Tamandua tetradactyla: one gene and its partners. The protein of the gene in region 4 interacts with the protein of the main gene of each other region in a pairwise test. Links are inferred from orthologs where the notes say so. Each region holds a gene or a part of one and is shown on either strand. Other genes may lie near its edges.

Region 1 (8,315 bases), on a different chromosome or scaffold from region 4:
TGGCACTAAAAGCAGCCTGTTCTCTAAGATCTGATGATCCTTTTCCTTGATGGAATAGGGAAATAGAATTTCACACTTTAGCCTCAGCAGGACTCACAGCAAAAAGCAAAGTCTTTTTGTTATCAGGCTACACAAACAAAGTGAGCTGGCTTCTCCTCCTTTGGAGAATGCCTGTGTTCATCTTTCACTACACATTAAAGTCTTGAGCTGTAAAAACAAACAAAATGAGTTCACTTGTAGGCTCAAATAAAATTCCCTTGCGCCTCTTTACTTCTTCAGCACTAGAACTAAGCAACCTGAATCTCAGCAGGTGTCTAAGGCCCGGTTTCAAACTAGAGTGTGAAATAAAGAACAAAAACCAATAATAAATGGGTCTAGCCCCAAATGGACAACTAAACTTCAGCAAACTAGAGAAATTCCTATGTCCTTGGATACCTAGGATTTCCTGGTTCGATCCTGAAAGTTTGAGAATTGATTTCACCTTGAAGGAGGAAAGTTTGAGTGAAACTTTTATTATGCTTTGCTATGTTTAAGCCTAGGCTTAAAAAACTGGGCAGAGTTCCTCAGCTGCCACTTGGGCATAATACCCATTCTAGAAGCAACAAGGGCCCTCCCTCCAAAGTCAGATGCAAGCAGGGCAGGTGAATGCCTCAACAAGGGGAGGCACTGGCTCAGAATTTAGAGGAGCTGACCTCAATCAGTGGAGGGGAGCAGGGGTTGGGTAGTGCCTGTACTGACCTAGTTAGTATGACTGTATGACTCGTCTTCTGACATTGACCTTCATAGAACTACTTCTTATTTTGTTTTAAAATAAATAAAAGAAACAAATTAATATCCATATTTCTACTACCCAGAACAGACCACAAAATTCATCCATATTTTCTTGTAGATTTTTTTAAAATAATACGAAATACAAATAATCAGTTCAGTTTTTCTCCATCCTCAAACCAACCTTCCTACATGCCATCATGAATTTTGCCACCCAGCCATTGCCATGAATTTTGTCTCCTTCTAGTTCTGAGTCTATATACAGTGTATCTATATTTATACTATGGTATTGTTGTGTTCTTAAAAAATTAGTCTAAAATATATACTGTATATATCCTTTTTTTGGGTCATCATTTGCTTTTTATACTCAGCACTACATTTACGATCCTTCTAGTCTGGCATATAGATCTAATTAATTCATTTTAACTTCCTTACTAGTCCACTGTATATCTAGTCCATTTTTTATGTGTCACCCTACTGGTAACCATCACCACCCCCACCATTAATACAATTTCCCTATATCAATCAATATTATGAAAACTCTTTAAGTACATGTATTCTTGTGTATTTATGAGTTTTATCTAGAAATGGAATCACTGGATGATAGAATATGTTTATTCTGTTACTATTTATTGCCAAATTGCTTTCTAATGCAGTTTTATCAATCCTGCTTTCCTTCACCTCTGCCAACATTTGATATTGTCAGGCATTTAAAATGTCTGCCAGGGTGCACAAGTGGTTCAGTGGTAGAATGCTCACCTTACATGCGGGAGACCTGGGTTCAATTCCCAAACCATGTACCCTTCCCCCCAAAAATGTTTGCCAACCCAATGGATGATCATTTGTTAGTCTGCTCTCTAACGTAGTAACAAAAGTGGGATATTGGGATAGTTTTGTTTAGAAAGTTTACTAGTACGTACACCTACCTCCCTACCTCTTAACTCAAAATTCCTGGTCTCTTCCAAAATGGGGAATGGCTATATGTCATCGCTGTTACTCAGCTGACCAGGTAATTCTTTTGGAGTCATCTCTAGAGACACCAGTTGTTTAAAGTTGAAAAAGTATCTGGATGTTGATGAAAGGTGTTCAGGATGGGCTCCATTCAAATAATATTTTGACTGCATATTTAGCTAGCAGCTATGAGCAACAATCTCGCTGCCCTACAACAGCTGGTATTGGCAGCCCACCCCACTCCCTCCCCAGCCTCTGACTGGCTTTCAAACACAGCTTGCTGGGGTCAGTTAATGAAAGGCTTAGAGCTTTCCAGGAGCTTTGCCTAAGGACATGGCCAGGGTGGGGGTGGGGGTAAAGGGAACATTGGTGGAGGGAGTCTCAGTGGCCACCAGAGGTACTGCAGCCTGGCTGTCCCTCCTACGTGCAGCCAGACACATACCATTGCAGGCGTGGGAATGCACCCCTTGGCAACCCCCCTGTGATCCCTTAGCTGAACAGCTGAACCAGGCCAAAACGTCTTGCAGAGGCTGCATCCCACTATTTACCACCCGTGCTGCTCATCTTCTCCTAAAATGCTTTAACGAAGCCCCAAATTATCAAACTAATCAATTAGCCAGTCTAGTCTGGCTCTTGGAGAAAAAACGCAAGCTCCCCAAAAGCACAGTGGTATTAAGAAAGGTACATTTCTTACATTTAGTCACACAGCACTATTCCTTATATACCACAACTGATGCTTAAAGTGATGACTCAAGGTCCCATAAGATTTTTTTTTTTACCAAATATGTACTTCACAAAGATCTTCAACAAGGTTGTAATAAAACTGCTCACAGGACAACTCATTCTTGTGGTTGGGATTTAACTGTGGACACTTGGAGTGATTATGAAATACCAATGACGTCAAATGCATCATTTTCCTCTACCTTGATCCCCAGTCTTAGCTATTGCCAAGACAATGCATCCTCACTTGCCTCCATAAAAGCTGAAACAAAATAAATTAAAAATCAAGTAATATCATGTCCACTTCAGCCCCTGTGCTCAAAGGATAACCCACTGAGAGGCTGCTATGCCCACCACAGAAAAGGCTCAGGAATGCAGACAGATAGACTGCCTCACCTGGACACAGGGCTCTGCTACTGCACCTAAGCTCTTAAGGCAGTACAGAGCCTGAGAATTTGACCCAATAATTTTTCATTTAGTTGAGACATTTTTATTTGGCAAAAACGCATGCTTCATTATTTGACTACTGAAAAGGGAGGGGACTTCTCAAGCCTCCAAGTACTGCAATGCAGTTTCCCCACTCACCCGATAAGGAGAATTCTTTCAAAAGCAGCTAAGTTGAAAGGTTGAGTCATCTTCCGCCCACAGCCTCCCACTCACCCACCTGGTGATGGGTTACATACCCTTCCCCTCAGAACAGCATAATGTATTACCAACAGCACCTTCACGCAACCAGGAGGCAAATTATTTGGTAACAATGCTGCTGCAGAGGAAGTCCTGATCCAGGTCCCTCCTCTGTACCCTAGGGAGTGGCCACACCCTCAGCACTGCCAACTGGAGGTAGCTATCCCTGCCTTGATTCCTAGCTTCATACCTACCAGTACAGAACTAAGTCCCTGAATCTCACCTGGAAACCTGCAAGGATTGGTATCTGAAGATTTCAGTCTTGGTGTTGCAAGTTTGTTTCTACTCTTACAACCAAACACCAAAGCCTGAAATTATTCCTCTCCCTGCCTTCCTTTCATCAGCTGGCTTAGAAGACCAGAGATCTCATGAGACCAAAGAGCCCAGGTTGCCAGTGGAGGTTTGCAAAGTAATATTATTAGTTACTTTGTAAACAATGTACATGAATTCCTCAGGGGACTGGTTTCAGATTTCTGGCATTTAAAGATCCTGACTGGAAGAGTAACTGTATGTGCTTAGGGATGGTAGAGAGACAAATTGAGAAGTTCAGGCCCTCATGGTCTACTATGAATTAAGCAACTGTGCTCAGTGACCAAAATAATAAATGAATTTGAAGGCATTTCTCCTGGACATCTCAGGAGAGATGAGATTTTATCAACTGCCATTTGTGCAGTACCTTCTAGATGCTAGACACTGCACTGTGTCTTTACTTACATATACATCAGTAGGTGTGTGCAGAAACCCATCCTTTCAACAATTATACAGATAATATTGCTCCCATTTACATATAGGAAACCTACGTCCAGAGGCTGAATTCGCTCAGTCATCTCAGTATGTTGTGAAGTCAACCTGATTCTAAAGTCTGTTTTCTTCTCCACAACTCACCCATGCCTCTGCCCATTGTTACTGAAACTTCTGGGCTCATTTTACATACATGGGGTTGGAGGCAGGAAACAGCAATGTTCTAGGTTTGGAGAAGATTATATAAGAAGTCAAGGGATGCCTTTCTATAACTGTGTTTCTCAATAACCTTCAAACTACAAGGTGATTTCCTTGCTTCTTCAAATCCAGTGTGGCTGCCACCTTGTGGGCATCCTGCCGCTCTGTCCCCAGCACGAGGCTAGTGGCTTCCTCATAGCACTTACCGTAATAAAATACATATCCTCTATTTGGATTGTGAACTCTGGGAGCTGTAACCGCTGTGGGCATCCCGATTTCCTCTTGTATATCACCCCTACTCCCCAAAACTGGCTTTGGCACAGGAGTTTTACGGAGGGTACGCAACACGTGGCTTCGAGCTCTTCAGATTCCCCTCTCCTCTCGCTTAACCTGCTCCCTCCACCCCGTGGCCTCTCCATTCTACAGTCAGGGAGCATTTGCTAATAAACGTCAGCAGACACAAGGAACTCCGTGAGTGACTAAAATGCGAGGAGACCACGGGAAAGCATCCAGCAGCTTCTCGGCTGGGCGGTTAGGTCTGGCTGGTAACTGCCCCGCAGGGCCAGCCATCTGGCGGGACAGGTCCCGGGCACAGGACCGCTACGTGCAGCCTCACCGCGGCGAGATGGAGCCGCGCGACGCGCCCCACCCCCACCGGGGCAGCGCAGACTTCTTGCAGCACCCGCCCCCCCCGCCCCCCCGCCTCATGGAATCCGGGGAAGAAACAGGAACTTGCCACAGGAGGAACCATCACTTCTTCCCCTGCTGCGAGGAGGGCCTAGGGTTACACAATCCTGTGCCCCGGGCCGCCGCCTCATCCCCTCCAGGGAGCCTGGCATCCCTTAGGCTGCACAGTTGACTCAGCCGGGCGACCAGTACACTTCGGGCGGTGACCCACTGCCTCCCGCCAAGACCACAGGCCGTTTTCTCCTGACGGTCTGGGAAGCCAGGATGAAGAAGGACAAAACTGAGATGGGGGACCTGGAAGAGGAGAGCGGACGTGACCAGAACGGAGGGGGCGTGGACGCGACCAAAATGGACGGGAAAGGGCGGGGACCAGGGCATGAATGAGGGAGGGGGTGAGAGGGGGAGGAGCGGGAGTGAGCACATGAATGTGGGAAGGGGTAGACATGAGGGGGCAAGGACGCGGGAAGGGCCGACGGAACCCGAATGGAGGCGGAACAGAGATGGGACATAAAGGGGAATTTAGAGGAGCGTTTACAAGGAAAGCATCGAAATGATGGGGACATGGACAAGCTGAACACGAGGGGGAGGAATGGGTCTTGTACTAAGGCGGAAGGGTAGGAGGGTGAGCAGGGGAACACAGTGGGGGATGGGGGAGAACAGGAAGGCGAGGAAGACATCAGATTAGGAGGGAATAAAAGAAGAAAGGCGAAGATGGAACCAGATTGAGGAGGGAGAGGATGAAACCAGAAGAGGGGTGGGACTGAGGAATGACAGGGGCTGGCTGACATATCTGAGAAAGGAAAGAGAGCTAAGGCTTTCTGAAGAGCAGGCCGTAGGCGCAAGCAGCCTTTCTCCTCTCACCCCAGGCCGGTCCAAGATGCTCAGGATCCTGAACCACCCCTGGAGGGGTGACCTGAGGGAAAGGCGGGCTAGGATTCCGCACCACCCGAAGTCCAGCGGGTCGCGCCTGAACCGCCCAGCCTTCCCCGCCGCTCACCTCCGGATGGTGTTGCTCAAACTGCGCTGCAAATGTCGGGTAAGCGGAGCTCTAGACGCGACGCTCCTTTGCGGGAATCAGACGCCTCAGCCTCAAGGTTATCACGGCTGCAGAGCCGCTGCACTCCCTCCGCGGTCCCGCCCTTCACCCAATCCTGGCTCTCCGCACCCTGGACCCGCCCCTCCGCGTTCTCGCTCGGTTCAGTCACCTTCAGTAAGAAGTGCAGCCCAAGCGGAACGCGCCTTCAGGTTGCCTTTTTGGGGAGAACTACATTCCGCAGCGGAAGGACACATGATTAAAAATTACCTCATTGACAGACTGTAAAAGCCAATGGGCAAGCGGCGAGGTAGCAGGACCCGCCCTCGGAACCCCGAAGACCTCCCTCCCGGACCCCCAGGCGCCCCGGACACCTGTTGCCGCCAACTTGGGCTGCGGGACTGGGTCTCTTTTCTCAGCTCCCAACCCAGTCAACCCAGCTGCCCTGGGCTATCGGTCAGTTCTCAAATTTCTAAGTCCACGAACGGTGTTCTCCCAGCTCCATGCTGAGTACTCCCCACCCTTCTGGATGCCTGTCCCAGCACACACCTCGTAGAACAGCCGAACAGGAGGTGTGGCGCCCAAGACGGGACCAGAAGGGGGAATGGAGACACATGGGATGGTAGGCGGCCCAGGCCCCCTTCATAGGCGACTCAGGCACTACGGGGCTGGGAGGGGAGCTAAGGGGGGCGGGGAGAGGGAGCCCAATGCTCATTTGTCTTTAAGTCTATTTATTATCCTAGGATCCCGGAACAAGGAAGGACTGGTTGAGGCCCTGAGAATACATTTATAGGGGGCTGGAATCTTGCAGAACGAGTGCTTGAGAGTAAAAAGCGAATGTAAAACATTAATATTAGGGCAGAGCTATTAAGGAATATCATTAAAGTTGATAATGTATGCAGGGGTCCGCATTTCCATTTTCAACCTTGTCTATTTAAATCAGTATTGTTGGAGCTTTTCTTCAGTTTTTTAGAAGACATTTTCCAATTCCCCAGTTTTTAGCCAATAACCAGTGATGAGAACACTGTTATCAATGAAACAGCTGTCAACTTTTGCCTTCATTCAGCCAACCTCTGAGAGTAGATATGTTTCCCCATTCAAAATAGTGGATCTGTTCTCTTAGGCTCCTTCTTTCGTTTTCCTAGAAAATAAGACCAATGGGTGTAACCTGCTCAAGCAGGCACTGTGCCTGCAGCTGAATCACAGGACTTTATTCTGCTTTCCTGTTAGCTCAGATAAGCTGGGGAGAAGAAAGTGGCAGCTTAAATTTTTTTAGATAAATTTTTTTCTATTTATTTCTTTTGTAAGCCTTTTCTCATTCCTTTGGTTGTCAACAGAAAGTAAATGCTTAGTTATTAAACTGTGAAAGGACATGTAGTTGTTGAGAGAAAAAAATATCAAGCCCTACCAGGGAGTCAGTTTCCTCCCTATCCAGAGAAAGGGGGATGGCATAAATGGCCCTATGTGACCCCTGAGCTGAGGATGAACTACAGTGCTGGGCAACACTAGTGTGCAAGTGATCTGGAAAATGCAATGCTGGAATATGTGCAATATAAGTTTAAAGTTCTAAATATAGATATGTTCCCGGGATTATATGCACCTGTATTAAACTGGAAATCCAGTGGCAAACTGTTGTCCTTCAGTACAGATTTTGATCACCCGTTATGAAAATGCTGCCGTAACACTCTTAACAGAGACTTAGCATATCTTTGCTCACATTAGATGCATAGTGAAATACTGCTGCAATGAGTTTAAGGAGATCAAAGTCATTTTTCTGCTGAGAAGCAGTATAATATTGAAGAGTTTGGGTTCCATATTTTAGTACCAGTTTCACTCACTAGTTCTATGACCATGTCCTGCAATTTAATATATAAGAGTCCAGTTCCTTAACAGAAAGTTGAGAGGGCAGGCACGGTTGGCTCAGCAGGCAGAGTTCTGGCCTGCCATGCCGGAGACTTGGATTCGATTACTGGTACCTGCTCATGCAAAAAAAATTAAAAAGTTGAGAACAAATCCTGCTTCATAGGTTGATGTTTGATATGATGTACGTGAATGAGTCTAACACAGTGCTCAATAGGTATTCTCTTTCTGTAGGACTAGTCCTGGAGGGTAGTCCTTGTGATCAGTGTCAGAACATCATTCTGGATCCAAGTAACTCAGCTTGCCCTTGTTCTCTAGGTCCTTTTCCTGAATCTTGATTTCTTTGGTTCAAGAACAAACCCCAATTCAAAGAGTACAGACCAGCCTAGGGGGCCAGGCCCTACCTCCTAAAGCCAGCCCTTCCCCTATGCTCACCAAACTGGTTAGGATGGGAGGAGGGGATGCTAGGCTCAGTGGATTGGTGTATGAGAGTGACGGTATAGATTGCTGTTATCTGTTTGGATTATCTGACACAGAACCACAGAATCTAGGAGTCTAGTGGTTTAACTCTCTAAAGTGATTTGGAGTCTAGGGGGTTTGGGGGTGGTAAAAAATGTCAGTAAATGACAATGTGACCTAATCCTGGAGACCAAATACAAGCTTTGGTCCTGAT
Region 2 (8,156 bases), on a different chromosome or scaffold from region 4:
AGATTTAGAGTATATAACTCACCAAAGTATAATTAGCAAGGATTAACTCCTGGATAAGTAAGAGTTAGACTCACTGACTTCTAAGTTTCCTCTTCTCCCAAACTCTAACTCAGAGGTTGGATCTTAACCTGAGAAGGATCCAGAACCTAACTGTTTCGTAAAAAGCTAAGGTAAATATTTGAAAGGCAAGAAGGTTTCCAGCTTCAAGCAGAGGCCAGAATTGAGTGACAGAGCAAGACTGATTATTTGCATCTAGTTAACCTTTTACAGACCTGAAGCTCCTATTTAGGGGCCTTAAATTTAAAAGAAGCCGCGCTGATTCTTTAAGAACAAGAATGTCCACCTACCTCACATTCAACTCCCTCTTTAGATAACACTGTTGCAGCTTCTAAACAGTGACCAACAGGTCTTGAATGAGAAACCACGGTTACATGCGTCCCTGAAACAGAGTGGTTACAGATCAGAGGTCAAGTTGAAACTAAAGGTGTTATCCTGCTCTATAGAAAACTGTGGCTTTTGTTCATTTGTAAAGTCTTCAATTCAACTTCATTCCAGTGAGAGGAGGAATGTGGCAGCTTCCTAGAAACTAAATGCGAACCTAATGGACTGAGGTTTAAAAAAGCACAAGTATATGAGAAATCACACCATCATACACTCTTTAACTTCAGCTCATTGCCTAAATTTTTTAGTCAAAGTAAAGAGTAAGTAGAGGGGCTGGATTAAAAAATAGTGTTTAAGAAGTTCTCTTACCTTGCCTTTCTATTTTGGCTTTTCCAATAGGAATCAGAAAATCCTTTGACTGAGCCTCATCAGGAAATTCAAAAGGAACTCCATACATCAGTTCATTCTCTAGCATCACCACTGCAAAATATTAAAAACATTTAAACAAATGTGACTACTCTAATTAAATCCAGAATGACTGAAAATATATATACAACAATATTATTCACATTGTGAAGAGATCCACTGTGCTGATTAGGAAGCCTCACTTCCAATTCGTCCATAAGTCTTGAGGATCGTTTCAGTTATTTACATTTGTAGTTTGATCAATCCTAATCATAACTATTGAGATTAAGCCAGTGTTGTAGGTATGCAGAAAAGTCTCCTTCACATAAATGGCCCCCTTATGATCAGAAATAAGAAAACAACCATATTCTTTTTTTTTTTTTTTTTTTTTAACATGGGCAGGCACCGGGAATCGAACCTGGGTCCTCTGGCCTGGCAGGCAAGCATTCTTGCCTGCTGAGCCACCATGGCCCGCCCACAACCACATTCTTTACCATCTTAACTGTATCTGTAAATCATTAATGTTTTATATGAAATATCTAAGCCCAGCTAGAAACCTCCAATGGTCCCTTCTATGCAAAGATTTCATTTTAGTTCTTTAACAATCTCTGACCTGGATTGTTATCCCGAATGGCTGATTTAATAAGTCCTTTTGCATCTTCTGAATTCCAGGGGCTGACCACCTTTAAGCCTGGGCAGTGCCCATACCAGGCAGCAAAGCACTGTGAGTGCTGGGCAGCCACACCTGCCGAGGCACCATTGGGCCCCCTGAAGACTATGGGCACATTTTGAAGGCCACCTGACATGTAGTAAGTCTTGGCAGCTGAGTTTATAACCTGGTCAATGGCTTGCATGGAGAAATTGAAGGTCATAAATTCACAAATGGGCCGCAACCCAGCCTGTCAAGTCAAAAACATGGACGTTAAAAGGACTAAAACTCACAGCACTGAGGAATGGCAAACAACCACTCCTTTCCTCCAACATTCAAATGATGTCTTTGAACAGTTACATTAAAAGAAATCTCTTTGGATGAGCTTCATATAAAAATATTACATACCATAGCCGCACCTACAGCAATTCCAGCAAAGCCCATCTATAAATATAAACCAAAGGACAATCTGAGTGAAAACATAAAAATAACAGCAATATACCCTTTAACAAATATGTCCCTCAAAGGTCTGTTGCCTGCTGGAAGCCTTACCTCTGATATAGGGGTGTCTATGATCCTCTTGTCTCCATATTTCTTCCATAGGCCTCGACTAACCTATAATTAGGGTTGTCCTCATTACTTTAAAGTATATGGGGAGACAAATGGTCACTTAAGTTTTGTATGATTTTCACATATTTTGTTTACCTTGTATGCCCCATCATACTGGGCAACTTCCTCCCCAAGCAGAAATACCTTCTCATCTCTTTCCAGCTCCTCATCCAGTCCCTGATTTATAGCATCACGAACTGTCACCTGTCAAAGTATGGGCGACAGTCCGTAAGATACAGGATAAATTTAACATACTATTGAGATTCTCTCCCTTTATACTTACCCTGGGCTGTCCACAGCATACAAAATCAAAAGCAACACCCCAACAGGATTTCTCTTAAAAGTTCAAAAAATTCTAAAAGTAACACTTCTACCACACACAGCCAGTCTTTAACTGGATGTGTTAATAAGAGATTAATGTGCACCCAGGTATAAGAAAAATGCTTGCTGCCCAGATCAGTTCACAAGCTGTTTCCTAAGTAGAAAGTATAGCGAGTTGTTTTATGTCCACACTTAGGAATTACTGGGCACAGAACACCCTTAGGGATTATTGGACACGACTTCAAGGAAACAACTGACACTAAGCCTCTGAGGACGAGACACTGTCAAACACTGTTCAGCATCTTGTTTAACCCTCAGAAACCTGCCTAGGAAGTACTATCTAACCACCCAGGTCAAATCCTCCGGTTAAAAAAAGAAGAGGCGGGGAAGGAAGGAAAAGGAGCTCCAAGTCTTTCACAGATGGCCCATCTGATTCCGACCACACTCGCAGGGTTATTTCACCACTGACGCCAGGCGAAAGAAGTAGCACGAGCCGCACTCGACTACGGGCTCTGGGGGCGAAGGGAATTCGGAAGGGGCAAGCACAGGACAGCGAGAGGCCGGTGCCTAACCCCGCTTGGGGCCCAAGAAGGCTTCCTACAGGAGTTCTAAGGAACAAGCAGGAATGTGTTGGACAAAGGGAAACGAAAAGACTCGGAGCCGCACCGCCCGCAAGCCGCGGAAGTCACGGTTCCGGATCCCGCGACCCCCAGCCCTCCCCTCCGCGCAGGCGCGATCCCGGCTGCAGCCCGGAGATGAGGCGGCCCCCTTGCTTGCCCAGTCAGTTACCTGCAGCGCTGCCGGCACCGTCCGATGGAAGCGCCTCCTCAGCAGCCCGGACAGCTACCGGGGAGACAGAGAGAGAGAAGACGGTCAGAGAATATGCAGGGTGGGTGGGATCCGCGCAGAGTCACCGCGTCCCGCGCGTGGCTGCTCACCTGCTGAAGGGGCCTCCGCACTAGCCCACTCACTGCCGCCATCTTGCTGGTGTCCTCTAGCCGCCGTCTAATGACAACATAGCGGGCCTAACAGACGTAGGCAGACCCCGCCTCTCCCGCCAGCGCGGGCCAATGGCATGGCTCGGTGCCTGCGTGCCCCGCCCATTCTCCCACCGGTTGAGGAACCAAGGAGCAGGGCTGGGGTGCTCCTGCCTCTCCATCTGGGATTATTATTCAACTAAACATTGACGAAAGGTTGGGCCAGCTATCTGCTGGCAATAGTATTCTTTCGGCACCAAGCAGTGCTTGCACACACTCTCATAATCGGGAGCCTACTACCTGAGGAGTGCCCAGCTTCTCTGTACAGCGCTGTCTGGTGGTTCCTTAGAACGCGACCAAAAGCTTTGATAGTATTCATAGTATCATATTTTTTCTTTAAATTTATTTTTAAATTTTGAAATCATTTCAAACTTACAGAAGAGCCGCAAACATAATGCAGATCCTTGCAGAGAACTGCTGCATACCCTAGCCACTGCCCCAGGTAGCAAATCCACCAATTTCAATATTTTGCCACATTTGTCATATCATTCTATCTGTTCATCTGTCAGTCCATCTTCTAAGCACTGTCTTCATTTTCTGAATATATGAGCGTAGGTTGTGTACATCGTGTTCCTTGAACACTTAATACTTCCATATGCATTTCCTAATAACAAGGATATTCACTTATGTAACCACCTTAAGTACCATTGTCATGTTCAAGAAATTTAACATTGACATAGAGCTTAAAGTCTATATTCCAATTTTCATGTCTCAGTAATGTTCTTTTGGATCTTTTCTCCTCTGTTATTAGATTCTGTATAGGACCATGTATTGTATTTCATTGTATTAGTCTGTTTAGTTACTCTTTTTTTTTTTTTAACTCTGTGTGTGAAATATAACATATACAAAAAAGCAATAAATTTCCAAGTACATTTTAACAAGTAGAGAACAGATTTTAAAGTTTGGTATGGGTTACAGTTCCACAATTTTTCTTTTTTTCTTCTAGCTGCTCCAGGACACTGGAGACTAACAGAAGTATTAGTATAATGATTCAGCAGTCATACTCATCTGTTAAATCCTGTCTTCTCTGTTATACAACTCCTTCTCTTTAAATAACATATTTGCATAAAAGCAAAAAATTTCAAAGTACAGTCGAACAATTAGTTGTAGAACAGATTTCAGAGTTTGGTATGGCTTATAATTCTATAATTTTAAGTTTTTATTTCTAGGTGCTCTAAGATACTGGAGGCTGAAAGAAACATCAGTATAATTCACCATTCATACTCATTTGTTAAACCCAACCTTCTTTGAATCACCTTTGACCTTTCTTCCAGTTTTCTGGCGTATATGGGCTATACCCATTCTAGCTTTTTCATGTTGAAAGGGGGTGTTGATAATATAGAATGGGGGATAGAACTAGTTGATGTTCTGGAAGGGTTGGCCCCTCTGCATTTTAGGGCTTACCTGGTCCAGGGACCCATCTGGAGGTTGTAGGTTTCTGGAAAATTACCCTAGTGTGTGGAGACTTCGTAGAATCTTATATAATGCCCTAAGTGTTCTTTAGGATTGGCTGGAATGGTTTTGGTTGGGGTTCGGCAAGTTATGATATGTAGCAGTGTCTAACTGAAGCTTGCCAAAGAGTGACCTCCAGTGTAGCCTCTCAACTCTGTTTGAACTCTCTCAGCCACTGACACCTTATTTGTTATGCTTCTTTCCCCTCTTTTGGTCAGGATGGCATTGGTAATCCCACAGTGCCAGAGCCAGACACATCCCTGGGGGTCATCTCCCATGCCGCCAGGGAGACTTGCATCCCTGGATGTCATGTCCCATGTAGAGAGGAGGACAGTGATTTCACTTGCAGAGTTGGGCTTAGAGAGAGAAAGGCCACATCTCAGCACCAAAAGAGGTCCTCCAGAAGTGACTTTTAGACATACCTATAGGTGGGTTAGGCTTCTCTACTACATTCATAAGCTTCACAAGAGCAAGCCTCAAGATGCTCTTACTTTTTAAAATTGCAGAAACAAACGTGACATAAACTTTATCATCTCTACCACTCCCAAGCATACCATTTAGTGGGATAAGTCACATTCATAATGTTATGCTAGTCTCACCACCATTCATTGCTCACACTTTCCCATTACCCAAACAGAAACCCTATGCCCATTACTGGGTAGTTACTTTGGACTTTAATTCTGTTTGGTTCATTATCATAACTTTTTATCTCTTTATTTTTACTTTATGTTCACCATCAACTTCTTGATTTCCTTTTGTTTTTGTCCATGTTTGCCTTTAGCTCTTTTTAGCATATTTAGGACCATTTTTGAGTCTTTGTGAGGTATATCCTAGGTCTGATCTTCCTCACTGATGGCTTCTAATGCTTGTCTTCTTTGCATGGGCTATAGCTTTCTGTTCCTTTGTATGTTTTGTAATCTTTTGTGGCAACCTAGACATTTTGATATTTTAATGCATTATGACTAGAATTTAGATTCTGAAGTATCTGTTCCTTCATCTTGTATCCAGCTAGAGCTATAACAGAGATGTCAAGATTTCCTTGAATGTGGATTAAGAGAGAGAGAGAGAATATCTTTCCCAGTCTTTGCAGATTGGCCTGCACTAGTGTTTAGTGTTTAGTGATACACTGAGTCTAGAGAATAGCCTGAGGCAAAAGCCTGGGAAAACCTCAGTTATTTCTGTGCCTCCATCTTGTCCTAGGAATTTCTGGCCCTAGGAATTTCCTCATTTACATAAATTTGAATGTCCTTATTCCCCTAAGAAACAGTGTTTCCTTGCAATTCCCATTTGCAATATTATGTCCCATTGGTGGGCACATGTGCCAGTTTGAAACTATCTTGTACCCTAGAAAAAACAAGTTTTTAAATCCATATTCAGTACTGCTGGGTAGGATCTTTTTTATTGTTTTCATGGAGATGTTAACCATTCAGTTGTGGGTGATAATTTTTGATTAGATAGTTTCCATGGAGATGTGTCTCCACCCATTCAAGGTGAGGTTGCTAACTGGAGTCCTTTAAGAGGGAACCATTTTGGAAAAAGCTTTAGTGCTGACAGAGTCCACACAGTCAGAGACCTTTGGTGATGCAAAAGGAAAACACCCCCAGGAAAGCCTAATGAAATGAGAAGAAAAAGCTAGCAGATATTGCCATGTGCCTTCCCAGCTGACAGAGGTGTTCTGGACCCATCAGCCTCTCTTGAATCAACATTACTTTTCTTGGATGCCATAGTTTGGACATTTTCACAGCCTTAGAACAAAGGTGACTTAACAAATTCCCTTTTTAAAAGCCATTCGGTATATTGCATTCTGGTAGCTTTAACAAACTAAAACAGCACAACTGTGTCAGGCAGCTGTGATTTGACTGTTCTCCTATAGCATCCTGAAAGAGAGCTCTGTGAGCCACTTCAAGGCATAGGGCAAGTTCTGGAATGACAAGCCTGTTATGCATGTCATTGTTCAGTCCTTCAGACTGCCCCCCAGACAGATTGGCACAATCACACACGCTTCCTAGGATATATACAAAGATTACTCTCTTCCCTCCAGAGCCAGGACCAGGAGCCCACATGGGAAGCACGTGTTGACCCAGGGCGAAGCCTGTAGTGAATGGGGGAGGCGTCAGCATGGACACCACAACGCTTTCCTACCACTTTCTTTTTCTTTGTATGCTGTATGGCGGGGGTCACATTTCATTCTTTTTCCACGTGAGTATCCCCTTATTGCAGCACCATTTGTTGAACTTTTTTTGTTTGATTTGGTTTTTTGTTTGTTTGTTTTTATTTGTTGGGGAAGTGCATGGTCAGGAATCAAACCCAGGTCTCCCACATGGCAGGCGAGAATTCTACCACTGAGCTACCCTTGCACCCCCTTCCTACCATTTTTAAGTTGTCTTTTTCTTGATTTGGTTCTTGCTCTGTTACTGTAATCCTTTAACTGTTTTCTGTAGTTTTGAGTAAAATTTTTCAGCCGGTTATGCTTGTTAACAAAATTTTTGTAAGGGGACCTGGAATGTCTCACTCTGCCATTTTAATGGAGGGGGGTAGGCCTCTGCTATATACTATTTCTGTATTAATTTTGCAGCTCCCCTCTAAGTCTGGAATTATTTCAAAATTAAAAGTTAAAAAAAGTGAAATCATACAATATGTAACTCTTCAAGATTTTCTCTTGTCACTCAACATAATATTCTTGGCATCCACCCAGGTTGTTGCATGTATCAGTATTAATATTTTGGTCTTTTTTATTGCTGAGTATTCTATGGCATGGCTGTATCGGTTTACCCATTTACACACATCGGAAAACATTTGGGTTCTTACCAGTTTTAGCTGTTAGCAATAAAGCTGGTATGGTCATTTGTTTACAGGGTTTTCTGTGAGTATAAGTGTACATTTCTCTAGGATAAATACCCCGAAGTTCATTTGTATGGTAAAGTGTATGTTTAACTTCTAAGAAACTTCTGACTTTTTCCAGTGGCAGTAACATTTTACATTACCTCCAGCAACGTATAAGATATCCAGTTGCTCTCCATTCCTGCATTTGGTATTATCATTATTTTTAAATTTGAGCCATTCTTAGAAGTATATACTGATATCCTATGTGCTTACTTGGCATCAGTCTATTCTCTTTGAAGAAGTATCTGTTCATGGTATTGATCATTTTCTAGTTAGATTGTTTCCATTCTGTTGAGTTCAGAGCAATCTTCATAATTTCTATATGCAAATCCTTCAACAGATATATGATTTGTAATGTGTTCTCCTAGTTCATGGTTTATCTTTTCATTCACTAGAATGGTATTTCTCAGAGCAAAAAT
Region 3 (7,674 bases), on a different chromosome or scaffold from region 4:
CTTGGAGTCCATAGTGGAAGGGAGTTTATTGCTACTGTAATCAGGCTGTGATGGTAATATGGAGCTGAGAAAGCTGGCTGGGGACTGGTTATAGGTGGCTGTAACCCTTTGGCCTGGGTTGGTGCCAGTGAGCTGTTGGGGAGAAGCAGGGAAAGCAGAGGAGGACATGCTGATGTGAGAGCTCATTGTTGAGGAAGCTGAGAATCTTTGCTCTGTGCACTGGCGGGGCTGGATGATAATGGAAGACTGTTTGGTCTGGCTGGAGAAGCTGGAGGTTTCCGGTCCAGGAGGCTGCAGTCTGGTGCCACATGGGTTTTGTGACTGGATGAAGTGTTTTGGACGCTCGTAGTTAAACATGTTTAGCTGGTATGTGGAAGATGAAAGCAAGTTATTACTATAATGATTTGCTCTTGGAGGGGTGGGGTCCTGTATTTGGGACTGCAAGGAATCAGAAGCAACTTTGGTCTGCCTCTTTTTGTTGAGATCCTTTGATAGAGTGGGTGTCTCTTGAAGAATATTGTTCCTTAAAAAAGAGAAAATGATTAGTATATGTTGTAGTATTTTTTTAAACAACCTACTGTTTATTTAACATCTTTAGGCACTTATATGCTTTTAAGGTAGCTTCAAGTTGGAACTGTCCTGGCTTCTAGACCTCCTTTATCTCTGATTTTAGCAAATGACTTTTCCCCTGAGAATAAGAAAAAGGATTAATCAGTGTTTGGTTGTCCCCAAGTGATTCTTGAGAAAACATGCCTAGGAGCTTCATGATACAGGAGATCAAAGTTAAATTTTCCAAGTGATAATTTTGAAAGGAAATTCTGTGATGTTTCTCAGTTTGATAATTTTATAGTTTCATGATTAGCTTTTGCCCAGAGGTCACAGTTTCATTAACCACAGAAATTTAGTATTATTTAAAATTAATGGCAATAAAATATATAACATTTCAGCTCTCATCCAGTTTAAATTCTTCCTTTTGCTTATCAGTTTAGATAAACAACCCTTCTGATACCAATTAATTCATATCCTGATGAACTGTGATGATTAGAGTCTTGGTAAATGAAAGGAAGCAATATACTGCTAAAGTAAAGAACATTACTTTAACGTCCATACTTACTTTGCCCTTTCATAGTTTCACAAAATACAGTTCACTGTTGTCAACTTTGAGTGGAACTTTTTTACCTGATAGTTCACTGACTTTTTTTCTCCCCATGATTCTAAATTGACCATAGTACCAAACTAGATGATAATTAGGGGTGACTGTGTATGTATCTGTCTGTCTGTCTGTATGTATGCCTTTGTGTGTATAATATATGTTACTGATAGCATTCCAGAGCCATTTGTAAATTTTCTGGTTTTTAGATTATACTTTGGATATTGTTCTTAGTGTTCTCTTAATTGTTTAGATTTTTTACTTTTTGTTTTTTACTTGTTTAATATAAATTTTAGACTAATTTTGAAATTGTTTTATCCCTTTAACTTTTTCTTTTGAAATGGCAAATGGGAGGTACCGAAGGAAGTAAGACAGCAGTGAAGCTAGCTATGCGTTACCATGAGAAGTTGGATGCCATTTTTATCTCAGTTCCTCAGTGGTCCTTCTGCCCTCCTATAGTGGATCCCCCCTTTTCCTTAGATGAATCATTTGCCACTAAAATCAAGCTTCAAGGATTATATTTGCCTTTGATTGCTTCTGTTAATATGATAAACCTAAGCAGGACTATGAAGACTTTACACATAAAGATTAGCCTTATAAATTACTATAATACTGATCCTATTTTTATTAAAATAATCATGTAATTTAGTTCAAAATACATTGTTGTACACTGTATAAACAAACAGTTAATAATAAGTCTAACTTTTAATTGATAAAATTAACCAAACTGTCGTTATTGAGACAAAATCTTATAATTATTTAAGTTCCTATCTGGAAGAAAATGTTGTTAATGAAACTTTTCCAGACCAAACAATTTCATCCTAAAGCTGCGCATGTAGTTTTGAGTTAAGTTAAAACTAGCAGTTATAGGAAACAATAAAAATGCAACTAAACATCTTAGATACTAACTTATGAAAAATAACACATAAAATTTCATATATTCCTTAATTTCAAGTTTATGAACACAAGCAAATTCAATCAGAGTGTATTTTAGTTTGATGAACTACATTAGACCTTTAAGTTTTGGGGGAAAACCATCCCGAAGGAGGCTTTATATCTTCTCAAAAAAAAAAAAGAAGACTGTAGTTTTACAGGTATAGGTTGTATTTATTCTATTGCAGAATTGAACCCACAGTTTGGTTCTTAAGTTCCTTTCTGGTTCAACAAATTATTCAGATTCATTTCAACTAGCAAAGAATGTTTAAGGAGTAGCTGGTAGATATTTTCCAGAAAGGATTCACTATTTTTCTTAACATATATGTTCAGAATGTCAATTACCATATACATTTTGGAATCAGCTTACATAAGTAGCAATTACTGACATTTTAAAAGCCCTATTAAAAAATAAGTGATTTCAAAACAATGATGAAACGAGGATAGATTTCTCTGGGAATGAAGTTAAATATATCTACTGAGAAATTTGTATCATCTAACTTTATCTTCTAAAATAATAAAAGCTAAAAATAAAAATAATTAAATTGATAAAAAAATTCTTTCAAAAGTTTCATTTTATCCATATCTTAAAATTTTGTACAGATGCTTTCACAAGTAACTCTAAAAGGCTTTTTCTCATGCTTATAGTTACTGTACCAACAATTAAATTCTGTAGTAGATTCTATTACATGATGCTGTCATTTTATTTCAAACAATGCTACATATATTTCAAAAGTATTAACAATAAAACACTGTTGAATTTTTTAAGTAATATTTTTTTCCTATCTCTAATATAGCATGCACTTGCACAAAGACTGATAGGGGATATTTTGAAGCCATAAAACATTTCCACAATTATAGTCAGATAATGTGTCCTTTTTCAAGGACTAATGATGATTTAAAAATGACACAACTATCTTTCCCTCTACTGTTTTATAATGCCTTTGAGATTCAGTGAAATGAATAGGTCACTTTCTCTTCAAACCTTTGTGTATACTAGTATCATTACGATGTTGTGGCTTTCAAACTTTTTATCTTAAGATCACCTTGGTACATTCCCTTTGATTTGGAAAACGAAACAAAGCCCAAAACAGCAGCAGGAATAAAGAAGGGACTTACCCGTTGCTCCAGAGGGTGCCAGCTGGGTTTAACCCACTACTGAAGGGAAGGAAGAGGCATCCCCTTCCCTCACAGACTAATCTAGTGGCTCTGTGCTTAGTATTATAGCACCACTGACTTTTGTCAGCTGCCAAACAGTGACATCTGATGTGCTTGCCTGTCCATCTACCTATGCTAGCATGTCAAAGTAAGAGTCCACAATCTAAACAATATCTCAGATGTCTTACTGATATTTAAGGAGTGGGATTACATGAGCTTCTTTTGCAGGCCTCTTTATTTTAGACGTTAATTTTGACTATGAGCAAGCTCATAGAGGGGGAAGAACAGTGAATTGGAAAGCAGAAAAAAGTATAATAATGCAATTTCTTTATTGTGGTGGGACTTTGAATCTTCCTTGCAGAAGAGAGAGAAAGAGAGACCAAAGATAAAATGGTCAGTATTCTAAGACTGGAGTTCTTCAAGACTTCTCCAGAGATGAGACCAGTGATGGATGGACTCCAAATTGAACTGTATTGGTTAGTCCTTCTTCTGAAGCCCTTTTTTTGCCTTGTCAAATGAGAATGTGGGTGGAGCCAGATTCAAACAGATTGTTCCAAGAAAGGGGGTGTGGTCCGGGCAAAGGCAGGAAAGCAATAGGACTGTAACTAACGTCACTAGGAAGGTGAAGAGGTGGTGGAAAAACATGTTTTAGTTTCTTTAGCAAGTTTGCTGAATCTGTATTGTGTATTCTTTCTTGACCCAGTATTCTAAAGGACTGTTGAAAGATTTAAGGAAACAAGCAGTCTGTATAATCAGGACTCTGTACTGTCAAAGCTCTTTCATCTCCCTTCACGGCTAACAGTTATAGTTTCCTTTCAGACCAAAAGAGTAAAGTATTTCCATTTAGTAGCTTCAATTTTGATATGGTTCTAATGTGTAAAGCATATCTGTCTATTCCCTTCCCTCATGGGTACCCCAATTTTGACTTAATCATCATGTACACTAGGGTCCAACAAATAGATGTTCGAGCATATGTAAGTCATATAAAATTCCCCACAGCTGACCACACTGGTATGCCTTTCTTTGGTGTTCAGAGAAAGTTTAATAATTGTCACCTAGTGAGCTGCTTTGAAGCTGTTATATACCCCAGAAAAGGCTATGTTCTTTTAACCCATTCCTGTGGGTGCAAACCTATTGTGGGTAGGACCTTTTGGTTAGGTTATTTCAATTGAGATGCCACCCACCCAGTTCAAGGGGGTCTTAATCCTTTTTACTGGAGTCCTTTATGAGAGGATAAAGGACACAGAAAAAGCTCTACCGAGAGAAGTTTGGAGAGAGTACAGAGAGAAAAGACCAGGGAGAGGCAAGCAAGGAACCACAGAAGATGAAAAAGCCAGAACCTGAAAGCAACGAAACCCAGGAGAGAAGGACCAGCAGACGTACACCATGTGCCTTCCCATGTGACAGAGAAACCCCAGATGCCAGTGGTCTTTCTTCAGAGAAGGTATCATCCTGTTGATTCCTTACTTGGAACATTTTCATGGCCTTAGAACTGTAAATTTGTAAACGAATAAATCCCCATCGTAAAAACCATCCCATTTCTGGTGTACATTCCAGAAGCTTTAGCAAACTGAAACACCTGGACACACAGCCATTACTTAGTAGAAAAAGCATGCTAAACCTGATGAGTGTGTGGTTGTAAAGTCTTACTTCAGGAGTCCCTTAAAATATTTCCTTACAGCCGCTCATTGATATTCTAAACTCCATTAACAGGGACAAAGCCTTTTAGTTCAAATTAGAATTTTAAATGCAAATGCAAGGGACATAATACAAATAAGAATAACCAACACATACAGCACTTACTATGAGCAAGGCACTATTCTAAACATTTTAAATGTGGTATATGTGACTGATATTTGGTTCTTTACTGAGAAAGGGTTTGATTAATACAAAAAGAGTTTAGACTTAAGGTACCTCGGTACCTAAAAGTTTGCGACATGCCCCACCAGCCAAGTTGGTAAGATATCCAGGACAAACTGCTAAATCCCCAGTTTGCCTAGCACCGGTCTTGAATGTACCACAGTTAAGGAAGAATTTTAGTTCCTCTTATTCTTTTCCGCTTCTTTTCTCTAGTTCTTTGTAAGACATGATATTGGTTACTGTGTGACAACTCAGTGGTTCATCAAGATAAAGGTTCTTGCCACAATAAGGGGATCAAGAGATGATTTAGGAAAGGAAGATAGGTTCTACCATTTCCAGTGATTAAGGGTGTATGCCTAATAATCTATTATGTCTTTTTTTTCTTCTTTTTAATATTTGTTTTGCTTTTTTGAATGGTGTTTCAAATTTTCCTTGCAAAGGTGGTTGTTTGAATGGTTTAGTTGCTTATTGGAGAAAAATCATAGAATCCTAAAACTGAAAGAATCATTAAGATGTCAGATTGGGAGAACCATATTCCACTATGCCTCCAAAAATGACTTTCCATTTCTTTCTCTAATTTATCAGTAGGGGCCTCTGGAAAATCATTCTAATGCCTCACAAAATGTAGGAACTTCCTGCCTTTCTCACTAAAACCTTCTTAGTGCATGCATGTTAAAGAATTCTTTCTTGTCCTATCATTAGTGGAAACAGGGCAGCTGTTTTACTGTCACTTATTCATCCCTCTTTATATATAGTCTTGGTTGGTTTTTAAAATGTAAAGTTTATACGCTATTGTAAGAGTAGTGCTGTGAACTTCTTCTGAAGTCAGAGGTAAGATGTACTTGGTGGAGCTCATTTTTGCTCTATCAACTAAAAAGGAAAATGTCCAGTGAGGATAAAAGGACTAAAGATTGAAGAAAATTTTATTTTCAGGTTACATTTAATTCACTGTGATTATTGAAATTCTGAATAGACATATAATGAAAGGGAATCCTACTGTAGCACTCTAATTCCTTCCATCTCTAGCAATCTATTTCTCTCACTTCACAGGCCTAAATACTATTTAATAAATCCCTTCTTAAAAATCCAAGAATTTTTTTATAATTTTTAAAATTTTTAAAATTTTTATGTAGTGAACAGAGGCTACATTTATTTATATTAGTTAAATAGTCAAGAATGCTGATTTTTTTCATTTATTTATTTAGATGTTTACGTTTCACACTAAAAGATTTTACAAGTTGGTGAATACTGACAAATTATTTCTCCCACAAATGTATAACCACACATTCCAAGACAGTATAAATATATGGTTGAACTAACATTAATGTACATTACATTTATCAGCTATATACTAAAACAAATTATCAAAACCAAATATTAGGTTACGCAGCTCAAAAGGCATATAACATATGTATGCTGCATCATTAGCAGAAAACTACTTCTTTTTTTGCAAGAGAGGTTGGTGAAAAAAGGAAAATAAATTACACTTTGAACAAAAATAATAGTTGGTAAACAATTTCCAATAACTATGGAAAAAAATTAAAAGAATTTCAGAAATTTTGATTAAGAATTATTGTAGCTACCCTAACAAAGCATCTCTACCTTTAAAAAAAATTTTACTAAATTAAAGAGCATATTCTACATGTTCTGCACAAGTCAAAAGTAACACTTTACTAAAAATATTTATAGCCCCCTCCCATTCATTTGTCAGGCCCTCCCAGCTAAGTTGCACTCCAAAGTGCAAACATTAGCTGTAAGACTTTTTTGTCTGGAGGCATTAAAGATGTGTTTCTGTAGAATGTCGATTTTCAAAGTGGAGGTTTTCTCTAAAACACAAAATGAGTTATAGACATTAAATAATCACTATAAGACTTGGTAAAAAATCTAACAAAATTCAATGGCTTTATACTGGTATGAATGTGGGAGATGTAAACATAAATTGAACAGGGAAAAAACATATAGACCGTACTTTCAATGTTTGAAATGACAGAAGGAATGAACCACATAATGTCTAGAGTGTTGATAGTGTTACTAGACAAAAGCTGTGGACTCTTTTGCCTGACACACTCAGTAACAATTCCTAACACACTGGGGTTTCAAAGAGAGAAAGAGTTTATTACTAGGCATGTAGTATTAACGGCCCAAATCTGTCTCCCCAAACTATCCAAAATTTGGATAGTTGTATTTGAGAAAAGGTGGGTAGGGTTTAGGATAATGAGCACAGTGGCTCCAGATGATGTAATTAGTGGTGATCTAATTATTGCGCATATGCAGACTGATTACATACTTAGTCACAGAATGTATGGAAGAAAATGGCAGAATGAGGTATTGGTGACTTGTAGGTTAAAGTCTAAGCGAATGAGCATGTCAGACAGGCCCTCTTAGGTTAAATCTGGTCTTGGTCATCAAGATAATTTGGGACTTGGGGTGGGTTAGTTCTGGGCAGACACAAGACCCTTCATTAACAAACATTAAGGGGCTATCTTTAGTGATTACAAGACTCTAAAATTGAAAAACTGGATAACTACGTACAGGTGAAGGTTAGTCACAAGGTTTTTACAATCACAGGGGCA
Region 4 (7,617 bases):
CCAGGAGAAGGAGGCAGGGTGACTGCCCCAAGACATCCAGCTGTTATGTGGGTAACCCAGGGCCATTCAACAGTTCAGCACAAGCCTTGATTCATCGACCAGAGACTCATTCCAGGGTCCAGAGTCTCTTCTTTCTTTTCTACCCGAATGCACAATCTTGATTGCCCCTCAAGTTCTTCAATAAGCCCCTTTGCATACCTTGTCTTTCTGCATCTTGAGCCCAGGTCTCCCATGCTGAGAAGGATCTCCCTTTGCCATCTGTTTCTGTCCCTGGGGAAGGGAGCACTGGGATGGCTGAGAGGAGGCACAGGTCCTGTGCATGTGGTGCCTTGTGCCCACCACCATCCCAGATGCCCAGGCTTCAGCATCTGGGTTCAAATCCAGAGTGTTCTGCCGCTTATCTGTCTCAGACCAGTGATTTCACCTCTCTATTGGGATCATGGCAGGAGTTGTTTATAACGAATGGGTCATGCCTGGCACAGAGCAGACCCTCAATGGACGGCAGCTCTCACTGTCATATAACTGTGCAGGAAGGTCTTGAAGGGGTCAAGAACAGTGTGTCCTTCATAGTTAGCCACTAAGTAGTATTTTGGCATGATAGTGGTTTTATCAACAGTCTGCTTATATTTTTAGGGTCATGCTCTATCACCATGAGAGCCCATCTAGCAGAGGGCTAGGAGTCAATCAATCCAGGCTTTCTCTCAACTTAAACCCTTACTAGCTATGTGACCTTGAAAAACCTCTGCACCTCTCTGAGCCTCCATCTCCTCATCATAAAATAGAGGTAAGAATGCCATGTACATAAAGTATGGTGCCCACACCGAGTAGGTGCTTAGTAAATAATTTTATTTATAAATCAAATAATAAATATTTGATATATATATATTTTTTACCTTTCCTATTGTTTTCCTATTTGATAATCACAATAGTAGGTCTTATTGTCCCCTTCTGCAGACAAAGAGAAACAAAGCCCTAAAAGCCAGTGACTTACCCGAGATCCTACAGTGTGTTAGTTTCAAGTCAGCCTACAAACACAGTGCCCAGGCCAGGGCCTTTCCTCACTGGGCCTGCTTTGTCCCCCTCCATCGGGGAAGGTCCTGCCCTCAGGCAGGTGCTCAGTAAAGGTTTTAGACCATAATGGCAGCAGGTCAGCAACCTGGAAACTCGTCAGGATGTCCTGATTTGTAAAGATCGCTCCAGCTTGAAGCCTAACACCACACGTCCTCCTCTGTTCACGGACAAATTGTGCCTGAGACTGGGCTGTTGTTTTATAAACAGGGAGACTCAGCGCTCTATGGCCCAGGCCCACTCCTAGCTCTTCCAATGCCTAGCCATGAATTGGAAGCATGACCTTGGGGAGATGACTTCAACTCTCTGAGCCTCAGCTTCCTCATCTGTGCAATGGGAATAATGAACGCTGCGCCTGGTGCATAAAACTGTGGTGAGGCCCCAAGGTGTGGCATGCCTGGTGCCCAGTGAGGGCATCCAAGGGTGGCTGCTGCTATCAGGAGGGAGAATCTGGCTGCCTTCTCACCGGACACTTTTTCTCTGCTTATTTGGGTTATTTTGCAGGTCCCAATGCCTGTCATTCCTTGTCACCTCTCATCTTTCCCCTGGTTTCTCTCTCAGTCTCTCCTGCAAGGCAGCCTGACCCCTCCCCATCACTGAGCTGGGGCATGGGCCTCTGTCCTTCAGCCTGAGGGAAATGGCCCTTTGGACTGGCTTAGGTCCCAGCTGATGGAGGAGGAAGGAGCCTGGGCGAGCTGTGCCCGGCATGGCTGGGAAAGGAGGGCGGGATCCCAGTAGCCCGGAGAGCTGACCTGGAACACTCCTGCTTGTAGATGTCGATGATGTTCTCCACGAGCAGATTCCTCTGCAGACCGTAGACTCCGTGGCGGTCCATGACCACCTCGTGGCGGCAGGAGGGACAGCGGAACCGGCCTCCGGACATGGACACTGAGCTGCCCCGGCCAGTCCAGTAGGGATTTGCGGCCTGCAGATGGCAAGGTGGAGGTGGGCCTGGGCGCCTTCCCAGCCCCTTCCCTAACTCATCTCCTGTTCCCCTCCCCCTTCGCCCACCCCAGTCATCCCTGCCAAACCCACCCTGAGATGAGAACCAGCCCATCTTACAGACGGATCATCTAAGAAGCAGCTGAGCAATCAATAGGTAAGCATTGGCTTTGGGAATCCACAGAACTGGGTTCAAGCCTCATCTATTCTCTGAGTAATTTTTGGCCAAGCAACCTTATCTCTCTAAGCCTCAGTTGGACCATTCATGAAATGGGCATAATCAGTAGAACAAGCCCCTATGGCTTCTACTTTGAAGATAAAACGGTGAGAGGGCATTTTGCAAAGTGCTCCTGGGGAACCCAGAATCCTGCCCCCCAAGCAGGACGTCTACTTCCATTCCTTCTTTAGGGAAACAGAGCGCCCCCCCCGGCCTCCCCCACCTTCATATTATAAGGAACAGCCTCAAAAGAGAAGATGCTCTAGTGCCCAGTGCCCCCTCACGCCCCTCCTCCCAAGGCTCTGGGCCCCCTGCCACCGCAGGCCTGGCTCCAGCCCCAGGGGTCTGTTTTCTCTCTCTTCTCTGCCTGCCTCCCCGACTTATCACTTGAGGCATTTGACTCTTGAGTGGAGAGTCAATTGCCACGCTCAGGGCAGAGGTGGGGAGGAGAAGCAGACGTCCCGGAGAAGGACCCGGGCAGCAAGAGCTGCCTCCCCACCCCGCCCCACCCAGGCCGACATGGCGGGGGGGCCTCATTTTGGGGAAGAAAGAGCCAGAAGACTCATTTTCGAGAGGCAGGAACCAGCCTCGGTCCTGGTCGAAGGGAGAAAGTGTTTTATCACAAAGAAGCCGAGCGGCCGGCACTGACCTGGAAGATGTCATTGGCACATTTCCGGCACAGGTTGTGCTGACACGGCAAGATGACCACCGGCTTGGTAAACATCTCCAGGCAGATGGGACAGATCAGCTGCTTCTCCAAGTTCTCCATCGGGTTCCCATCCTGGATCAGGTTTGACTTATAATCCATGTCGTCGGTGATGTGGGAGCCCACTTGGCTGCCTCCTTCACCCGCACCTCACCCCAGGCAGACCTGGAGCCCTGGCCTTTGTCACAAAACACCCACCCGGAGCCCCTCTGCCTCCTTCCTCCGGCGCCCGTGTTCTGCCTTGGTCCGAGCCCCTCTGATATTTATAGCTGGGCCCCAGTCACATGAGCCCCGGGAGAAGACCAGCTGAGCATCCCCATGCCAGGCTGCTGGCGGGGCTTGAATTTCCTCCAGGCCTGAGAAGCTCGCCTTCTCATATCACGTGTGGGGATGAGCAATCTTTGTCCCCTGGGATGGGGGTCGTAAACAAGAACAGCCTGTTCAGGGGCTGGCTTCCGGGAGGACTGGGGACCCAGTGTCTCATCCAGGAATTGGTCGCCCCACCCCCAACTCCGGGATGGTGACTAGGGATGGGACCCATCCAGTGGGCCACTGGGATTTGAGGGGTTAATGGCCGATGGCCCCCCCCCCCCAAGGACAGGAGAGTGACCTTCTGATACACATCAGGTCCAGACCCTCCTCTAGAGTCTTGGGCAGCTCCCAAGATGAGGGTCAGGGCAAGCCCTCTTTCTGAGCCCATCCCTCTGCCTTCGACCTGAGCATCGCATTTTACTGGAGACTTTGATGACTCTCCCAGTCCCCCCATCCCTTGGCCGCCAAATCTGCTTTAATGCTACAAGGGCTTCCTCAAGGTGCAGTTCAGTCCTCTCATTTTTCAGATTGTGAAACTAGGCTCCAGGGATGGAAAGGGCCTTGTTCAATGTTACTTAGAGAGTAAGTGGCAGTGAAGAACCTTATCCATGCAAACACTTGTCTGAGCACTTACTCAGGTGCTAACTAGTAAAGGTGACAGATGAGTAATTCTTTTGCCTGACCTGTGAGGCTCACAGCCTAGGAAGAGAGCTAGCCACAAAGTCCCTGCCTAGATATTTAGAAGTGATTCAGATGCTCCCCTCTATTCTCTGCACAAATTTTAATTTTTCTCCCTGTCCTTCTGGACACCTTTCATGTTGGCAGGTAGAAGTCATTTGAGCAGTTCCAATGTCTCTTTTTAGGGAAGCGCCTCGAGAAAAGCAATGCTGGAGCCATCCTGGGGTGGGAGTGTGGGTGGAGTATCAAGATGAGAGCCTAAGAGGTCGAGGAACTTACAGGGGGTGTGTCCAGGGTCTCAAGAGAGAGATTCAGCAGAGTTGATTCACTCACCTCAGCCTCCAGAGGATTTGGTGATTGGAACCAGGAGATAAGACCTAGAGAGTGGTGAGGGCAGAGGAACCAACCTTGAGAAAGGGAGAAACGAGAGGGACAAGGAGGAGGAGGAGGAGGCAGGAAAGAGAAAGAGAAGATAGGAAAAGAGGAAGAAGAAGAAAACCCAGTCGGAAGAAGAAGAGACCTAAAAGAAAGCAAGAAAATTTTAAGGAAAGGGTAGTCCCCGTAAAACGTTAATGGCTAGTTATTGCCAAGCACTTCCTATGTGTCAGGCACTTTGCTGAGTATTATTTCATTCTAAGATCTCAATGGCAACAGCGCAAAGAACCATTATAAACCCTATTCCACAGGTGAAGAAACTTGGGCACAGAAAGGTACAGTAACTTGAATGAGGTCACAAGGCCAGCAGAAGGTGGATTTAAGACATGAACCTGGATATATTGGGAACAGGAGCTCAAGCGCCTCATGTCTTCACTGAACTGTGGTTCAGCACTGCCAGGCCAGCGGGGGGACAAAGGATGATGAGGGTGGGAAGAGACCATCCCTTCTTCCTTGCTCACGAAAGTTCCGTTCACGCACAGGCAGCACCGTGCCTCTCCACTGCCATATGAGACAAATCATGAAAGATTCATGCCTAACATGGTAATCCCATTCCCCTCTGCCTAAGGGTATACAGGTAGCTATGCTAATGAGACTCAAGGTCAAGTCTGCTGGGGGAGGGGGAATAAAGGAAAAGATTTGATACAAATTAATGTGTAAGGAGAAAACTTCCCTCTTGCCTTTGAATGGGGTGGTGAGAGGATGGAGCAGCTATCTTGCAACCATGATGAGACAAGCCTGAAGGAAAAAGAAATCAACACTCTGAGGATGGAAGAGAGGAGCTAAAGAAAGCACCTGGGTCACAGGTGCCTTCCGTTGTGTTGCCCATTTATACAACTCTGAAGGTGTTAACGATGTGAAATAACACATCATTGTAGTGTGATTATTCTGTTGCCTGCAGCCAAAAGCATACTATATGCATTTATCTTTCCAATTCCTAAAATGCCAGCGATTCTCAGATCTCTAATTCCAGTCCGGACTACTCTCACCTCAAAGCGGCAGATGTTGAGGATCTCTATGGGGTCTCAAGATCACTTCAAATTCACCCTATCCCAAACAGAACATATCATCTTCCCCCACACCTAGCTTCTCCTTCGGTTTTTCCTGTCTTGCTGTGCTGTCATCGACCCATTTACACAAACCAGGAAGTTGGGAGTGATCTTAGGGCTCCCCCTTCCCCCCATTGCACACCTAGTAATATGGGTCAGGCAGGGATCCATCTTTGTGTCTCCTTGGTCATATTGCCATCACCTGTTTGTAAGTGTGACACTCCCTCCCGTCTTTGAAGATTTTGAAGGCAAAGACTGTCTTTGTTCATCTTTGTATCCTTAAGGCCCAGCTCTCAATAAATAATTCTTAAATGAATGAACAAGTGAATGAGTGAACGAATGAATTAAATAAAGGGATTGCAAGGTCACTGTCAGGCTTGGGGGAAATTAAGTACTTGAACAAGGTTTTTGGTGGAGATAGTAGAGCCAGAGGAGAGAGAGAGCACTGGAAAGTGGGAAGGAGAGCTGAGGGAGTACATCCTAGAGTCTTGGGAAGGAGCTAGGAAACGGTGGAGGAGAGAATCAGAGGTGTTGAGAAATGGAGAGAAAGGTGCTTTTATATGATGACCTTGGTCAAAAGAGAGTTGAGGTCAACTCCTTGATGCTGACGCAGAAGGAATGTCAGCATGAGAGGGTGACGGAAAAGGTTTGGGCTGGTCAGTGGGAAACACAAGAGGAAGTGCCCTAGAAACCAGTGGAAGGAAAGTCTGGGAGCAGAAGAGCCTTGCTGATGTTTCCAACACAGATTTGTCATTTGTGAGGAGTCATTCGCACGGTTCTGTTGACTTCCCACCCACACTTGGCAGTCCAGACACAGAAGCTGAGCAAATGGACAGTGGGCTCAACTCCAGCCTGGGGGTTGGCAAGCCCAGCAGTGCTGAAAGTCAAGGGGTGAGAAGGGAAATTCCCACATAGGCCATGACTTGTCATTTAATCTTCACAACAGTCCTGTAGGGGAGGTATTATGATCTCCATTTTCCCATGAGGAAATGAAGTTCAGAGAGTTCATTGGCTTGGCTGGTCACCCAGCCCCAAGTGGCAGAGCTGAGAAAGGGTTCACATCCAAGGTAGCCTGACTCCTAAACCTGTGCTCCTCCCATTGAAACATTTATTGAGTGCTTACTGCATGCCAGGCATTGTGCTAAGCCCTTTGCATTCATCATCTCACTCAATCCTCAAAATAACTGAGTGAGACAGAGACCATGATTTCCCCTGTTTTTCAGCTGAGTTACAGAATCTCAAAGGGATGAGACTCTTGGTCAAGGGCTCCTAGCCAGTCAAAAGCTGAGTCAGTATCATTACCATTTATTAGAATGATAAGATCTTACACGTGGCAATTTGTTGTTTTTGTCTCATTGGTCCCTTCCTTCCTTCTGCGCCACTGATTAATCACAGAGTGATTTGGGGGCATTATGATTCTCATTTTTACATATCCAGAACTGAGATTCAGAGAGGTTAAGTAACTTCTGGAAGGTTCCCCAGCTAAATAACAGGCATCTCATTTGGGACTGTCTCCAAAGTCTGTGCTGCTAGTGGGGGAAGGTGTAGTGCCCTCAGGGGCCAGACTGGGTGGGAGGCAGGCAAAGTATGAGGGAGAATGGTCTGGGCCTGGCAAGCAAAAGGGAGACATGGAAGGAAATCATCACGATAGTACTATTTTTTATTAATTTAGCACTTGCAAGTGACTGGACATCTATCGAGGGCTCCCTGGAATTATTTCTTCCAGTCCTCAAAATCATCGTGAGTAGGGCATGCCTATTATCCCCATTTTACAGATGGGGAAATTAAGGCATAAATCAGTGTGTGGAGTTGTCCCAAGTTCCACAGTTGGTATAGTCAGAGCTGAAAAAGGCCCATTTAGCTCCAAAGTCTATGTATGGCCTTACCCACACTGGTAGCTAGAGAGGGGATTTTTCAGAAACTGGAGATTCTGAGGTTTCTTGACTCCAGGGAGAGAGCCCTGGCCTGGGGCTTGGACACCAGGCCTCCATCTCCAGCCTTGCCAGAGACTCACCATGTGATATCTGGGAAGCCACACCCCCTTCTGTTTCCTTATCTGCCCAGTTGGGAAACTGTACAAGATGATCCTCGAGGGTCTGTCCACCTCCCCCATGGCTGGTTCCTCAGAACAGTGCTTCCCAGGGCTGACGCAGGCCCAGGCGGTAGAGATGCCAGATGGGAAACACCCTCCCGCTCCCCCTTCACGTCCA

What was found.
Region 1: the proteins of TRIM63 (region 4) and PKM interact in a two-hybrid assay, tested with the Homo sapiens proteins (3 studies listed by BioGRID and IntAct). The link is inferred for Tamandua tetradactyla from reciprocal best matches to the Homo sapiens genes TRIM63 and PKM.
Region 2: the proteins of TRIM63 (region 4) and PDHB interact in a two-hybrid assay, tested with the Homo sapiens proteins (2 studies listed by BioGRID). The link is inferred for Tamandua tetradactyla from reciprocal best matches to the Homo sapiens genes TRIM63 and PDHB.
Region 3: the proteins of TRIM63 (region 4) and MYOT interact in a two-hybrid assay, tested with the Homo sapiens proteins (2 studies listed by BioGRID). The link is inferred for Tamandua tetradactyla from reciprocal best matches to the Homo sapiens genes TRIM63 and MYOT.

What each region holds. Positions count from the first base shown.
Region 1 is NC_135338.1:70,092,922-70,101,236, reverse strand, and holds the start of PKM (pyruvate kinase PKM), read right to left. Parts: upstream 3,154-8,315; 5' UTR 3,075-3,153; coding exon 3,025-3,074; intron 1-3,024. UniProt on the Homo sapiens protein: Catalyzes the final rate-limiting step of glycolysis by mediating the transfer of a phosphoryl group from phosphoenolpyruvate (PEP) to ADP, generating ATP.
Region 2 is NC_135341.1:26,472,627-26,480,782, reverse strand, and holds the start of PDHB (pyruvate dehydrogenase E1 component subunit beta, mitochondrial), read right to left. Parts: upstream 3,420-8,156; 5' UTR 3,346-3,419; coding exon 3,304-3,345; intron 3,209-3,303; coding exon 3,155-3,208; intron 2,249-3,154; coding exon 2,141-2,248; intron 2,051-2,140; coding exon 1,988-2,050; intron 1,880-1,987; coding exon 1,844-1,879; intron 1,686-1,843; coding exon 1,400-1,685; intron 862-1,399; coding exon 751-861; intron 440-750; coding exon 348-439; intron 1-347. UniProt on the Homo sapiens protein: The pyruvate dehydrogenase complex catalyzes the overall conversion of pyruvate to acetyl-CoA and CO(2), and thereby links the glycolytic pathway to the tricarboxylic cycle.
Region 3 is NC_135346.1:17,384,421-17,392,094, reverse strand, and holds the start of MYOT (myotilin), read right to left. Parts: upstream 3,333-7,674; 5' UTR 3,203-3,332; intron 524-3,202; 5' UTR 358-523; coding exon 2-357; intron 1-1. UniProt on the Homo sapiens protein: Component of a complex of multiple actin cross-linking proteins. Involved in the control of myofibril assembly and stability at the Z lines in muscle cells.
Region 4 is NC_135328.1:200,138,569-200,146,185, reverse strand, and holds the start of TRIM63 (E3 ubiquitin-protein ligase TRIM63), read right to left. Parts: upstream 3,175-7,617; 5' UTR 3,036-3,174; coding exon 2,877-3,035; intron 1,994-2,876; coding exon 1,821-1,993; intron 1-1,820. UniProt on the Homo sapiens protein: E3 ubiquitin ligase. Mediates the ubiquitination and subsequent proteasomal degradation of CKM, GMEB1 and HIBADH.